2 linked regions of the Cricetulus griseus genome follow. The protein of the gene in region 2 purifies or fractionates together with the protein of the main gene of each other region. This does not show direct contact. Links are inferred from orthologs where the notes say so. Each region holds a gene or a part of one and is shown on either strand. Other genes may lie near its edges.

What was found.
Region 1: the proteins of Trim47 (region 2) and fructose-1,6-bisphosphatase 1 purify together in Homo sapiens (affinity purification with western blotting; 3 studies listed by BioGRID). This does not show direct contact. The link is inferred for Cricetulus griseus from reciprocal best matches to the Homo sapiens genes TRIM47 and FBP1.

Annotation. Positions count from the first base shown.
Region 1 is NC_048596.1:280,506,439-280,514,155, forward strand, and holds the start of fructose-1,6-bisphosphatase 1, read right to left. Parts: upstream 4,948-7,717; coding exon 4,778-4,947; intron 1-4,777. UniProt on the Homo sapiens protein: Catalyzes the hydrolysis of fructose 1,6-bisphosphate to fructose 6-phosphate in the presence of divalent cations, acting as a rate-limiting enzyme in gluconeogenesis. Plays a role in regulating glucose sensing and insulin secretion of pancreatic beta-cells.
Region 2 is NC_048600.1:128,694,977-128,702,606, forward strand, and holds the start of Trim47 (E3 ubiquitin-protein ligase TRIM47), read right to left. Parts: upstream 4,226-7,630; 5' UTR 4,133-4,225; coding exon 3,449-4,132; intron 2,247-3,448; coding exon 2,151-2,246; intron 1,893-2,150; coding exon 1,662-1,892; intron 1,501-1,661; coding exon 1,302-1,500; intron 892-1,301; coding exon 817-891; intron 565-816; coding exon 1-564. UniProt on the Homo sapiens protein: E3 ubiquitin-protein ligase that mediates the ubiquitination and proteasomal degradation of CYLD.

The sequences.
Region 1 (7,717 bases), on a different chromosome or scaffold from region 2:
CTCTTACTGTCAGTGCTCCTCTCTTACTGTCAGTGCTCCTCTCTTACTGTCAGTGCTCCTTTCTTACTCTCAGTGCTCCTCTCTTACTGTCAGTGCTCCTCTCTTACTCTCAGTGCTCCTCTCTTACTCTCAGCGCTCATCTGTTACTCTCAGTGCTCCTCTCTTACTCTCAGTGCTCCTCTCTTACTCTCAGTGCTCCTCTCTTACTCTCAGCGCTCATCTGTTACTCTCAGCGCTCATCTGTTACTGTCACTGTTCATGTCTTACTTCTCTAAGTAGAGAGATGCCCAGTTATGTGTCTTTCCATCAAGTGCTGCAAAAAGAAGCTTCTTTGGGCAGAGCTGAGAGCAGCCTAGGTCTGTCAGAGCTGAAAACCGGGTTGGCGGGGGGGGGGGGGGGGGGGATTCTGCTGTAGCCTATGTATCCCTGGGTGACCTTGAACTTCTGATCCTCCTGTCTCCATGATAAACACTTTCCACTGAGCTGCAGCCTTGGCCTTGAACAGCAAGACTGAAACTGGGGCCTGCCACACAGTGGGCAAGCCCTATATGACATCCTTGACATCCTGACACAGGCTGTTTCCCTTCTTCCAGTGTCTACACCAGAACTGTGAGCAGCAGCACCTTCGGCAGCACGCAGGAGGACCACACTGGTTTTCAGAGCATCTAACCAAGGACAAGGGGAGGAAGATTATGATTTAAGTTTTATTACGAAAGTCCCAGGTAACCCCACCTCCACCCTGTTATTGATTGATCCTGTGGTAAATGACCAACCATTCACCCAGGGTGGGGAAAATCCAAGGGTTACTTCAGAAATACACAGAAGATGTGCCAATCAAGCTGTTTTCAAGGTCACAAATCCCAACCCTGGCTTTTGCTCATGCAGGTTGCAGATGGACAGATGTCAGGGTATGAGGCCAGCTCTGATTTGGCCCTGGAATGAGATTTGCAAGGCACTCAAGTCATGTGGTGCAGATAAGCCAAGAAACGAGAGAGAATCTGACACTGTTCTAAGCAGTCTTGCACCATAAATTCTGCAAATGTGAAGATGAGCATAAGCACACATTAACCTTCCCACAGTTCCAAGCCTAAAACTGAATTTCTTTATTGAATTCCTCCGTCAAAGCATATCTCATAAATAAAACATTTCTGGAGAGCTAGGGAGTTATTGCGGTTGGTGATGTGTTTGCCACACAAGCATAGTTTCTGAACTCAATCTCAAGAAACCCGTGTTTTAAAAAGCAGATCATGGTGACACAGAATTGTAATTTCCATGCTTGGGGAAGCAGAGACAGGCAGATCCCAGGAGCTCACCCACCAGCCTGACTAGCCTAATCAGTAAGTGAACTCCAGCTCAGTGAGAAACCGCCTGACTCCCCCCACCTACACACACACACACACACACACACACACACACACACACACACACACACACACGTACGCACGCACGCACGCACGCACGCACGCACGAGCATGCACACATGCTCACACTACTTTTCCAGATGTTGTAGCCTGAAATATATTCTAGCTGATATGTATATGGGCAGCTGCAAAATAGAATGATGGCGGAGCACAAAAAAAAAACAGTTTAGAAAAGGAAGAAATAAAAGTCTTCAGGAGAGCAATGATGATATCAGTGTGTGACCAGTAAGCTCCTTCATCTTCACACAACACTCTAAGGTTGAAAAACACTTGTCCCTATCTTAAAAGAGGGGAAACTGGGGCTCACAATGCTTTGCCACCCATCCCTATCACCACATGAATTAAATGTCAGTCTAGGAATCTAAACTCAGCTCCTTCTCTCTGAAATGAGCTCTTCAGTTCTGCGTGTCCCTACTCTTCTAAACCCAATCGTGACATTCTCAGGGCCAATGTGCCAAGTCCAGTGGCCTAGATGCCCACAGACTATGACTGTATGTTTCTACAGTAGCCTCAACCAAGGCATGCAAAATTCCACATCCCCTCACTGCTCCACAGTCCCTAGAAGTCAAGTCCTCCTTGGAATTCCATTTGGAGTTTTGTATTGCTTTCATGTTCTATAGCATGATTCTACTTTCATTTGCAAGAACCAGCTGTTTGAGAACACCCTTCACTGCCCAAATCCAATCCATGCTTCATCTTTGCCAGGTCCTTCCCCTGCCTTCTCTGCTACTATAGCTCTGGTCACTCCTTCACCTGGTCCACTCATTTTCCATGTCTTCTCTTCCAACTCCATACTTTTAACCTTCCCTTCCCCAGAACCTGACCTGGGCTATAGGAAATGCTGTCTCATGATATCATATCATTAGGAGCAATGGAAATGACAACAGTGGCAACTTTGAAGTTAACTGAGACAAGGCAGCAGCATGAACCATAATTATAACTCTGCTGAGCTGTGAGACACCAGACTGAGCTTTGGAAACCAGTCCCAATGAGGTTCTTGAAATATCTACAACCATCCCATCCCTTTGGGTGCATGCTTTTCTAGGGCCAATTGGGAGTGATAATTAAGCTCTTTGAAGCCGCACTGGCTCTTCATTCAATACATCAAAGCCCAAATGAATATAATTTGGAGGCCTGTCGAGATCATATCTGGCTGCTGGAAGTCTGACTGCTTGTCATACTGTGAGTAGTCACCTGCTCACTGTCCCACAAGAATGCTTCCTACCTGTCCTACCACTGTAACAACCAGAGTAGCAAGGACTTAAATGCCACAAAGCCACAGAAGGGTTCCATTATTCAAGATGTCTGCTCAGTGGAACATCCTGCAGCAGTTTAAAAGGAAGTGGATGGTGTCACACCCCATGCCAGAGAATGTTCATTACATAATTGGAGGAAAACACGGTAAATACTGTCCCATTTTGTTTGCTAGCTACATAGGAACATGTAAATGCATGTTCATGTAGATATTTACATGAGCATAAAGAAGAGTCAGAGAAAATAATCAACAACAGTTAGCAGCGGGTACTCTGAGGATTTGGCATGGGTGGGGGGGTCTCCTTTTCCTCCATATCTTTTGAATGGCGTGGTGTTTTTGTCAATGGGTACAACTCCTTAAGGAATCTATGATAATATTTTCAAAAATGGTGTCATGACCATCTAGTCTACCAATATACATTCTCTTCCATGCCAAAACTGGCACCTTCTACCAAACCCCATTCCCATTTTCCGGGGCTAGTTAGGTGGGATTTGGGGGTTCTAAGTCTTTCTGAGATTGTGACAAGTACTGGTGCATTTTTAAAATAATGTAAAAAAAAAATGCCAACTGCTGTCTCTTAGAAAGCTTCCAGGTACTCAGAGAGTTAAATCTGTGCCCTGGAAACTCAAGTTGAAGTGAGACTTTACCTTCCAGCACTTGCTCAATAACTCCTTAGGGCCAAGAACAAGATGGTGAGGGAGTTCTCACCTCTAACATACCTGTTCCTAGCTTTCTCTAGCAAGGCCTAGCCCTCCTTGGCATCTGAAAGTAAATGTGACCAGGTGCTTCATTCTTAAGAATTAGCTCAACCAAGCCACACAGTAGAAACAGAGGTTTTGAGAAATAGATGCATAAAGAAATAAATAACCCAGGCCTCATTGTTGGGGGAGCATTTTAAAAAATGCACTTCAAAGGATTATTATGCTCAAGTTAGCCGCAAACCTTGAATGGCATTTCTGCATTGCTAATAGGCATGAAAAATATTAAGGAAATATACAAATAATCTGAAAACCCAGGTTCCATTCAGCTGTATGCTGACCAGTTAGATACCAAACATGTGCTCAGACCAGAACAAAGTAAAAGAGAGTTGAGTAGTTTACAGAAAGGTTTTCTTCACTTCCTTCTGTATGAACTATATAGTATTCCTTTTATACTGTATGAACTATAGATCAGAGCATTAAAATCACCTACTGTGCCAGGTGTGGTGGTGCACACATTTAATCCCAGCACTCAGGAGGCAGAAGCAGGCAGATTCTGTGGGTGCAAGGTCAGCCAGCTCTGCACATAGTATAAACTCCAGACCATCAAAAGCTACAGAGTGAGACCCTGACTCAAAAAATAAAAAAATAAAAAAATAAAAAATCACCCACCACAAGGAAACTTATTGGAAAGGCAGAATTTCAGACCTTCCCCAATCACCCCTGAAGGAGGGTCTGAATAACAAGGTCCCCAAATGTTTCAGAAGAAGGAAATCAATTCCTTGGCTCCATCAAAAGAAGACTACTACATCTGCCCTGTCTTCGAGCTCTTCGCTAATTGGGCAAGATCTGCTCAAGGCATTAATGCAAATAGGGAAAGGTTTTGTTGCTCTCGAGGTGAGGCTCTGCAGCTAATCCCAGAGAGAGGACAGGACACTGTATAGACAGCCGGACTTGACTGGGTATTCACTTCTTCCTAAACTATCGCTTGGTGGAATATTCTTAACGGAACTAGTCTAGGTCGAGGATGACACTGGATCTGAAACAACTTGGGTCCAAAATTCCAAAGAGAGTAACAGGGGAGGAAGGTGACCGTGTCTCTTTCTGTCTGAGACCGAAATGGGCAACTGTTAAGTCACTCACTTTTACCATGAGGCTGGGAGGAGCGACAAGGAGAGTTGAGATCAGAGGAGGGGTAGAGCAGGTTATGCACCTGGAAGACAGCCCTCCCAGGGGACCTGCTCCATCACCAGGAGGAAGAGAATAAGGGTTTGTGAGCAGCAGGGCAAGAGACAGGAATCTCAGGTGTCGAGTGGGCACACTGGTTACCAGCAGGGGGGCCAGAGAGGCAGACCCCCAGGCGCTCTAATAGACCAGACAGGGCCACCAGAGGCCTAACTCACAGGTGTACGATGCCAGCCTTGCGCACCGCGGACGAGATAGCTTTGATGGCAGTGCAGAGCGAGTTCAGCAGCTGGGTCATCTCGCCCGTGCCGTGAGCCTTCCTGCCCTGCTCCATGACGAAGCGGGTCAGGGTGCTGATATCCGTGTCGAAGGCCGCCTTGTGCGTCATGGCTGGGGCCTGATACAGGTGCGAGCTGCAGGTGCTGGCTGCAGGTGCAGGCAAGAAGGGCCACAGGTGATGCTCACAGCAGGAGTACCGAAAGCTGCCCAGTGTCTGCAGAAGCTCAGTGAACTTGAGTCCTGGGGGACCTTATAGCCGTTAGGTCTCCGCCCCCTGTCCCAGGAAACACCTCCTTTGCTCCCTGCCCCCACCCAACTGCCGTCCTGCCCGCGAGATCCTCCTAGCCTTCCCCTCCCTTCCATGCACCCTCCCCTAGATGCCACGCCGACATTGCCACTTCCTCCTCTGTTGCTCCACAGCCACACCTGCGTTCTGCAGCATGCCTGTGGGCTACCTGCGTGAAGATCGCCTTCAATCCCTGCAATAGCCTGCCAAAGAGGAAGACCTGATGGACTCCTCCCCACACACCCGCGCCTTTAAAATACAAAGCAACTCCGTGTGAGGGAGGGAGTAACTTGCTCAGTTGCCTTCCCTGCACAGCTGACAGCTGGCAGAGCCCAAAACCCAAGCTGGCCTGTTTCAGTGCCCGCCCGCTGATCTCTTGTCACCTGCCCCTTCAGCCACCTCCTGGAAAGTGGATTCCCCCATCCTTCATCTAGTCTGAATCCTTAATTGCTGCCTTCCCGAAGTTACTAGAGTTGGAGAACCGTTGAGAACCTTAGTTTCCAACAAGTGTGTCCTGCAGGGGAGACAATTACAGACACAAATTGTCCTGAAATCAGGCACGTCCCCAGTCTGCTCCTGTTGTAGCTGACACAAGTCCACAGGCTGATCTATAAAACAATCACTGGACAGCTACTGTGTACCTGAACACCTGCTCTCTTTGTGGTCAGGGCCTCCCTGAGTGTAGAGTTTAACAAACAGAAAACGAAAAGAAACAAAAACAACCCATGGATCAGCTTGCTACAGGAGCCACATTGGCTTAGGGGAGAATGAAACAGGAAAGACAAACATATAAGGAAACTGAGCGTCCAGGGGAAAGTTCACTGAGAAAGTAATATTTGAGCAAAAAGCTGAAGGATGTTGGGGAGGAGCCAGAGAGGACCTATCTGTGGTTAACCAGACAAGCCAGTGCAATCAGCTAGCACCAAGCTTATCAGAGACCATCTCTCAAAATGAGGGGCACAGTGACCAAGCAATAACATCCAAGGTTGTCCTCTGGCCTCACACGAGTACCCAAACAGGCACACATACACCAGAAAAGAAAAAAAAAAAGCAGGGATGGGGGGGGGGGGGTGGGGGTGAGGGAGAAAGACTAAATTATGACAGATCTCATGAGTCATAGCAAGACACTTGTGGGTTCTATTCATAGTGCAAGAAGAACCTTTAGAGGATTTTAATCCAAAAAGTAACTTGACTTGCTTTCCTCTAAATGGAGTGGGAACAGACTGTGGAAGGTCAAGAGCTGAAGCTAGGAGACCCAGTAGCATGCCTTCCACACAGCTTGTTTGAGGCCCTTGTCCAATGTACAAAGATTGCTATCAAACTATGTGTCAACCTCAACTATTTTTCATATGGTGTGGGCTTGAAGCTTCCTGCCCTTCCCTGACCCACTGTCTCTTGGCACTCCCTGCAGCATCATCACTTTCTCTGTTCCCACTGTCTCCTGGCACTCACTCCTTCCAGCATCACCCTCTCTGGACCCACTGACTTGGCATGCCCTCCAGTACCATCCTCTTTTTCTCCAATTCCTCTTCTTTATCCACCTGCTCCACCCTGTGCTCCAATGACTCATTTTCCTAAGAAATTACCCTCTCATCCCTGACACAACATTGAACAGTCTGATGGTCGCAGCAGGGTGGGACAGAGGACACTGCCATGACACAGTACTAATAATGAGCTCAACCAAGACCACAAGGAGCTCCTGAGCCTGAGATGACCCTTCTGAGCTGACTTCAGTGGGGGTCAAGATGCTAGACACCAGGGCCACCTGTCATCCTTTGTAGGCTTCCATGGAAGGATGCCTGACACAGGACAGGTGACAGTCTCTGCCTTCAAAGTTCCAGCACTGTCTAACTCAGCAGTACCAGAAGCTATGGAAGAAGTTCCAGTTGTCTGTGAAGAACTGGGTGGTACCTGTAGCACCCATTGTCATCACCAACAGAGAGGCCTGGCTGTATCTTGTATCCATCCTCTGCTCTTCACATTTGAAGTTTCTCTCTTCCCATGAAGTCACATGTACACCCACAGGCATTGCCAGACTTCTTCAGCAACTCAGCTTCTCCCCGATGCCAGCTGAGACCCTCCCCACATTTCAGCCTGAACCCCACTTCTCCAACCTCTCCCAGACTCCAGCTACCCCACTCAAGGTTCTACATGCCTCTCCTGCACTCTCTAGTACTTTGAACCTGTACCATTTGAGTTTGGCCAACTCTCCCAAGGCCCTGAACCAAAGGCCAGCAGAGAGAAATCATGAGTACTTGCTGTTTTCTAAGTTATTTATTGTTTGTATGTGTATGCAAATATATGTGCCGTGACATGCATGTGGAGGCCAGAAGACAACTTTGGAAGTTAGTTTTCTCCTTCCACCTTGGGGTACCTGGGGATCAACTCAAATTGTCAGCCTTGATGGTAAGCACATTTGCACACTAAGCCATCTTGTTAGCCCATGAGCACTTCACTAAAGGGCTTGCCTGCCTGTGGCTTTCTTCCACATGAGGGTTCTGAGAGCCTGACTTAGAAGGCAGGAGGAATATTTAGAAAGGAGGTAGCAGGGAAATGTCATTTGCTAGGCTCATGAATGCAGCCTCGTGGCCTT
Region 2 (7,630 bases):
AGAAGGCAGGCTTGAGCCTGTGGTTGAAGAGTCCTGAAAAATGACTGTCCAGGCGACTCTGGAATGGGTCAGTGGGGGAGGCCAGGGCACCACTGCGGCGTGGCCTGGAGGCTTTGAGCCTCCGAAGAAGGCTCAGCTTTCCGTCTCGAACTGCGTAGAAGGCCAGGGCATGGTCAGCGTACTCCAGGCAGACCCCAACAGTAGGCGAAAAGGCGTGGGGTAGTGGGGCCTCCAGCCCACAGAACCAGACAGAGAACCCACGCCCATTCCACTGCAGACAGCACGAGTGCGCGTTCCGGCCCAGCCGGCCCCGGTCGTAGGGCTCTTGCGGCGAGAAGCCCTCGGCCATGACACCCACGCTGACCCATCCTTCAATGATCTCCACCTCCCAGTAGTAGGTGCCCCGGTCCAGGGCGCCCTCCCCTAGCACCTGCTCACAGTGTGTGAACCGGGTGGGTGACTCCGGGTAGTTGATGGGACATAATACCCTCTTGACACCTTTGGTTCCAAAAAGCTGCAAGAACTTGTCCGCTGTGTCACTGTCCAAGTCCACGATGTAGGCAACTGACCCCATGGATGGGAGAGAGACAGAAATCACAGCCAGGCTGGGATTGGATAGTCCCCCACAGGGACCCCCCCAGCCTTGTTCCTCTGTAGGACCAGTGAGACGCACAACTAATGGCGACCACCCATGGAGATGTAATGGAGACCACCCATGGAGGTGACCTTGTTCGCCCCTGAGATTAAGGATTTGTGTTTTCTCTGAAGCCTAGCGGCTAACAGGGGCGCCTTGGTAGCAGTGGGCTGGCTACTTACACTTGAGGAAATAGTCCCTCGGAGCTTCACTCTCCAGAAGGTTGGTGCTGTCTGGGTCCTGGGACTCCACCTCAGCTGCAGGAGGAGGAGTGGTGGGGAAGCCATCTCTCTGATTACCTGTGGCTGGCTGCAGGGTTACCCTAGGTAGTGCCCCCCACCACCCATGGTTGTAATTCCCTCCACCCTTCCTCCCAAAGCCTCTAGCTGCTTGGTGACAGACACACCCAAATGGGACCGTGTTCTCATGCATGGATGTTGCTTGAGTTTCCCCACCCTCGCCTCCTTGTATGTGAGGCCTTGATGGTGGGTAAGCAAGAAGAATCCCTTCTGCCTTCCAAGGTGGGTGGCTTCAGTTCCTGGCAGGTTTAAGGTCCCCTCCCCCAATGCCAGACACTTTCCCTCCTCCGTTCCTGGCTGGACACCAGAGCTGGGGTGCAAAGGGTATCTCTCTCTGTGTGTGTGAGTCATCTTGAAGGGGCACCTACCTTCTGAGCCGAGCTTCTGCAGCTCATCCTCGTCACTGCCCAGCCCCCGAAGCTGCTCCCACTGGCTGGCACAGGCTGAGACCAGGATGTCTCTCAATGCTCTGACCACTTGGGAGGACTTGGTGAAGCTGAGCTCCCTGGGGGGCCCAGGTCCAGGGCCGCACCCCTCCTCCAGGGCCAGCCGTAGTGCCAGGAGCTCCTGTGACAAACACCCATTGAGGCTCTGCCAGCCATAGCTTCTCCCAGCCGGGGAAGGTAGCAAGTATCCTGGGAGGCCAGGTACCAGTCGCCTCTGCCACCATTTCCCAACTCCCGCCCCCATCCCTTCAATTTCCGCTGTGGCTCATCAGTGGCCCTCACCTGCAGAAAGCTGACTGAGTCAGCTTCTGGAACCTGACTGAGGTTGTGACGCGCCCGGCTCAGGCGGCTACGCTGTTCCTCTTGTCTACGCAGGTCACCCTGGGAGCGTCCTAACAAAGTGGCCTCTCCCTCCTCGATGAACCCCAGCACCTCAGTCTGGAAATTCTGCAGGGTGGATGTGGCCTCGGCGAACATCTGGCTCACCCTCTCCCTCTCTGTGGCAGCTGCGCTCTACACCATTGGGCAGTGGAGACAAAAACTCAGCCTGGCTGCTCTCCTGACTGTGTGTGCCCACCCAGCCCTACCAGGAGGACAGAGGACCAGTCTGAGCTCTGGATCTGAGCACGACTGTCTTGAGAAACAAGGAGTTCCTGCTTAGTAAGGATGAGCAGTCCCAACTCAGAGCTTGTCTAGAGAGGATGGCACCACCCTCAAAGCTCATGCACACTTTCAGAAGTCTGATTCAGGGGTGGGGGTGGGGGTCCTGACCTTGATGAGGGCCACAGTACGGCGGGACTGCGCAATGCTGGCACCCAGTTCATCCATGCGGTCTTCCACTGCGCTCAGGACTTTGGGCTGCTCAGCCTGCGGATGGGGCTTTGTGAGGTGTTGTCCCGTGACAAGGGTCCCTGATCTGCCACAGATCTCAGGATTTGTCGGGGAAGACTGGGCAATGACATCTGGAAGGGACTGGAAGGGGCTGGAAGGGGCTGGAAGGGGCTGGGCTATTTCAGAATATGTCCAAAGCACCTCTGGCTCTGGCTGGTGCCTTTCCAAACACCTGGCAAGGTAAGCAGGCTGTCAGCATTTGACTGCCTACCTGTCGCCCAGAGAAGCCAGCATAGTTCCACCAAAGGCTCTCAATTTAGTTGGGACCCCCATCCCCACCCCAGTGGGGAAGAGGCAAAGAACGAGAGAGTGGGGTTTGGGGTGTGACTGAATGAGGAGGGAGGGCACTACATAGTCCTGGGGATTAGTTTCTAAAGAGCCTTCACCCCCAATCCAACTCCGAAAAAATGGGGATTCCGAGCAAATCCCTTGGGTCTTATGAGTCACAGCTCCAGGCAGGAGAGACGGAAAATCCCAAAGCTAGAGGCGCCAAGACCGGGATGGATGCCAAAGGAAACTGGGGGTGGGAGGTAGCGGGACACTGGGCACATGCTCCCAACGGCCCCAGAACATTCGGACATAGACGTTCTGTGTGACCAGCCCAACCTCCATGGCGCTCCTGGACCTGCCACACCCATCCACAGCGGCTGACTCAGTCCGGGACAAATTTGAATTGGGACCAGCAAGAAGAGCTCCCCAGCCATGGGGCCACGCCCGCAGCCACCCGACCCTGGTCCCCACCAACTCCAAGGGCCTACCCCAGATAGATACCTCTCGGGCTTCACACCCACACTGAGTCGGCTTCACACACACACACACACACACACACACACACACGCCCTCCCTTTCGGCTCTTTGCCACTCTTTCATATACTCGCCCCTTCCATCCACACCAGCCCCAGCAAACGACACTGTAGACTGGAAGGGGTTGCAAAGACCCTCAGGTTGGAGAAGGAAACTAAGGCAGAGCCCACTGAGTATAGGGGATGAAACCCACGTAAAGGTGAGAACCAACTCCACAAAGTTGACTTCTTGATCTCCATGTGCGCATGCAAAATGATAACAGCAACAGATAAAGGCACAGCCCGACGAGAGTGGGGACTACATAGCTCCTCTCCCGCCCGCCCCGCCCGCCTGTCACCCGTCTTCACGTGCCCGCCTGGATGCCCGCGCCCCACCTCCTGGAGCGCACGCTCCTGCTCCAGCGGCACCAGCTCGTGGCCGCGGTGCTCCTGGGCGGCACAGGCCTCGCACAGGCACACTCTCTCCACGCGGCAGTAGCGCTCCAGCGGCCGCAGGTGGCGCGGACACAGGCTCTCCTCCAGCCGGCGCAGCGGCGGCACCAGGCGGTGGCCGCGCAGTGCGGGGCTGCGTTCGTGCGGGGCGAGGTGCGCGGAGCAGAAGGAGGCGAGGCAGGAGAGGCAGGAGAAGGCGGCGGGCAGGGCGGCGCCCTCGGGGCACGCGTCGCAGCGCACCGGCCCCTCGGCCAGCCAGGGCTCGGGCGCGCAGGGAGCCGATGGCTCCGGAGCCGTAGGGGACGCGCTGGGCGCGGAGGGCTCGGGCGTCGCGCCCCGGGAGGGGTCCGGAGCCGGGGCGGCCATGGGTCCTGGGCCCGAGCCCTGGCGGAGCTGCAGCAGCTCGGACAGCGTGTGGTTCTTGCGGAGCTGCAGGCCGTCGGGGAAAGGCTCCTGGCACAGTGGGCAGCGGGCCGGGCCTCCGGAACCACCGGTGCCGCCCGCGCTCCGGTGCGGCCAGAGCGCGCCCAGGCAGGCGAGGCAGAAGTTGTGGCCGCAGGGCAGGGTCACCGGCTCCCGGAGCGGTTCCAGGCAGATGGGGCAGCTGAAAGGCCCGCTGCCGTCCATCGCTCCGCAGCTGCCCGGGCACCGCCTGTGCTGCTCCCGCCTGGGAGGGACCTGGGACGGCGCGCGCCCGGCACCGCCCCCTGGGGCCCGGGCCAAGGGTCCAGCCCCCTCCAACCCCTCCGCGGTTCTGCCCGCCCCCAACGCGGCCAGCCGCTGTACCCGCGGGTCAGCAGAAGTGGGGTGGGGGTCTGCCTTCCACGTGGGCCGAGGCGGTGGCACTGCCAAATGGGCGTGAAAAGGAGAGGACAAGGACCGGTGATGTATGGGGAGGAGGCTGGGAGGGCATGGGATCCTCCATCCCCCACCTTGGTCAGCCCGGTGCCTCGCGAGAGGTGGGAGGGCACAGCCGTGGCGCCAGTACCTTTGCCCTCCACACCCCTCCCCGGTACAGTTAGCAAAGATCTCGAGCTGCTGACATATAGAAAAAATTACTGCTGGTATGTGTCTGTTTTTGCCCCTTAACGACTCTATTTACCCCCACTGGGGAAGTTGGCCTTGTCTCGATCTGAAATGGGAAGCTGACATCACTGGACAAATCCCTTGTCTGAGGAATTTACTTCCGTTCGTGCACACTCTCGGGTGCCTGTAGTTCCCTAAAAGGAGGCACTCACTGGTTAAGACTTGCCCAACTATGCATTTAGAATGGTCGTCTAATTGCAAGGATGTGTGTTTGCTTTGGGACTTAGTCTCTATAGGTAGCCCAGATTGGCCTAGAACCCTTCATCCTCCTGCCTCAGCCTCTGAGTGCTGGCTTATGCCACATATCTGGTTTCTTAGTGTAGTTTTTGAGACAGGTTCTTGTTTTGTTTTGTTTTTTTGGGGGCGGTGGTGGTGGCTTGTTTTTTTGAGACAGAGTTTCTTTGTGTAACCTTGGCTGTCCTGGAACTTGCTCTGTAGACCAGGCTGGTCTCTAACTTACAGAGATCAGCCTGCCTCTGCCCTCCAAGAGCTGGGACTAAAGGTGTGCGCCACCACCACCTGGTGAGACAGGGTGTTTCTTATATAGTCTTGGTTAGCCTAGAACTTTTTTTGTTTCTTTTTTTAAAAAAAATATGTATTTATTGTGCACATGGATCTGTTTATATGTCTGTATGAGGGTGTCAGATCTCCTGGAAGTGGAGTTTTAGACAGGTGTGACATGCCATCTTGGTGCTGGGAATTGAACTCAGGTCCTCTGGAAGAACAGCCAGTGCTCTTAACCACTGAGCCATCTCTCCAGTCCCAACCTAGAACTTCTTATGTTGGCCTTGGCCTCCTCTTCTCCAGGGCTGGGATTACAGGAGTATGCTGTCATGCCTGGGTAAAGTGACATTGTACATTATACTTCAATTCTGTTACGTTTTAAAATTGTCCAATTCTTGCCGGGCGTTGGTGACACACGCCTTTAATCCCAGTACTCGGGAGGCAGAGTCAGGCGGATCTCTGTGTGTTCGTGGCCAGCCTGGTCTCCAGAGCGAGTGCCAGGATAGGCTCCAAAGCTACACAGAGAAACCCTGTCTTGAAAAACAAAAAATAAATAAATAAATAAAAATAAAATATGTCCAATTCAAATTGTAAAAATTATCGTTATTATTAATTATTATGAGTGGAGCCTAGTGCTGGGGAGACAGCTGCTCAGCTGGTAAAGTGATGAGCAAGTGTGAGGACTGGAGTTAGAATCTGGGGCCTATATTAAAGGCAAAAAAGAAAAGAATAAGCAAAATGGGTAGAATGATGTTGTTATAACCCTAAATAACAATTAAGCATCCATCTGTCCATGCTGAGAGTAATGAGTTACTGGATAAATGAAGAAGCAGGGGGCTAGTAGATGCCTTTCCCATTCAGAACAACCCCAGATAATTTCAGTTGGCTCTCCAAAGTGACATCCTACTCCTTACCTGTGTGCTAACCACAATGGTTTCTTCTTTTTCTCTGTGTAAAAGAGAAAAAGGCTGTCCTGGAACTCTCTGTAGAGCAGGCTGGTCTTGAACTCTGAAATCTGCCTGCCTCTGCCTCCCAAGTGCTGGGATTAAAGGTGTGTGCCACCACTGCCTGTTGTGGAATATTAGCATAGCTATGTAGAGATGTGTTAACATTTGTTTAACTATGTAATGATGTGTTCCTGTTCACCTTGCCTGCCTAAGACACCTGACTGCTCTAATAAAAAGCTGATGGACCAATAGCTAAGCAGTAGATGGATAGGTGGGGCTGGTGGGCAAAAAGAATAAGTAGGGGGTGGAATCCAGGCTCCAGAAAGGAGAGAACAAGGGAGAAATAGAGAGAGAGCCTGGGGACAGTCAGGCGGCCACCAGCCAGCCAGACACAGAGTAGGACATACAGAATGAAAGAAAGGTAAAAAGCCCAAGGCAAAAACGTAGATGAAGAGAAACAAGTTAAATTAAGATATAAGAGCTAGTGGGACAAGCATAAGCGAAGGCTGACTATCCATAACTAATAACGAGTTTCTGTGTGTTTATTTGGGAGCTGGTTGGTGGCCCAAAAGAAAGCTGCTGCAGCTGCCTGGCTTCTAAAGACAGCAAAGGTCACTCTCTCAGTGGGGAAATATACACACCTTATCCGGGCAGTCCTGGTCAGTGACACCACAGCATGGAGTCTGGTGTGACGATGGTACAGGAGGGACACATGGCCTCCCAAGTGCTGCCACCGTAGCATCTGAGCACCACCACGCCTGGCGAGCAGCGCTCACTTGTGGGGTGTAGGGAGGGCCCATCAGTTAAGAGCTACCCTTGCTGAGGACTCAGGTCCAGTTCATAACCCACATCACTGGGCTCACAGCCGCCTGTGATTCCAGTGTCAGGGCATCCCACGCCCTCTTCTGATCTCTGAGGGCAGTGCAATGCACACAGTGCACGTAAGTACACACCGGCAAACACTCATAAAACAAATAAAAACAATTTCTTTTATTTTGGTTTTTTAAAAAATTTTTTAGATTTATTTTACGTATATGAGTGCTCTGTCTGCATGATCCCACTATAGATGGCTGTGAGCCACCATGTGGTTGCTGGGAATTGAACTCAGGACCTCTGGAAGAGCAGCAGCCAGTGCTCTTAACCTCTGAGCCAACTTTCCAGCACTTATTTTGGTTTTTTGAGACAGGGTTTTTCTCTAGCTTTGGAGCTGTCCTGGAACTCACTCTGTAGACCAGGCTGCTTATGAAATATCCACTCTGAGACTTAATACCATTTACAGTTGCTTAGCCAATGGCTCAGGCTTCTTCCTGGCCAGCTCTCTCTTAATTATTAACCATTTCTATTAATCTGTGCATCTCCTCATAGCCTTGTCTTACCTGAGAATGCCTGTGTGTCTTACCTCCCCCATGGGTACATGGCATCTCTCCGACTCTGCCCATTACCTCTCTCTATACCTGTTCAGATTTCCCACCTGGCTTTACTCTGTTAAGCCATTGGCTGAAACAGCTTTATTCATCAACCAACCAGAGAAACATAGTCACAACATGCAAGGATATCCCCCATCATTAACCCTGCAGACTTTTTCCCC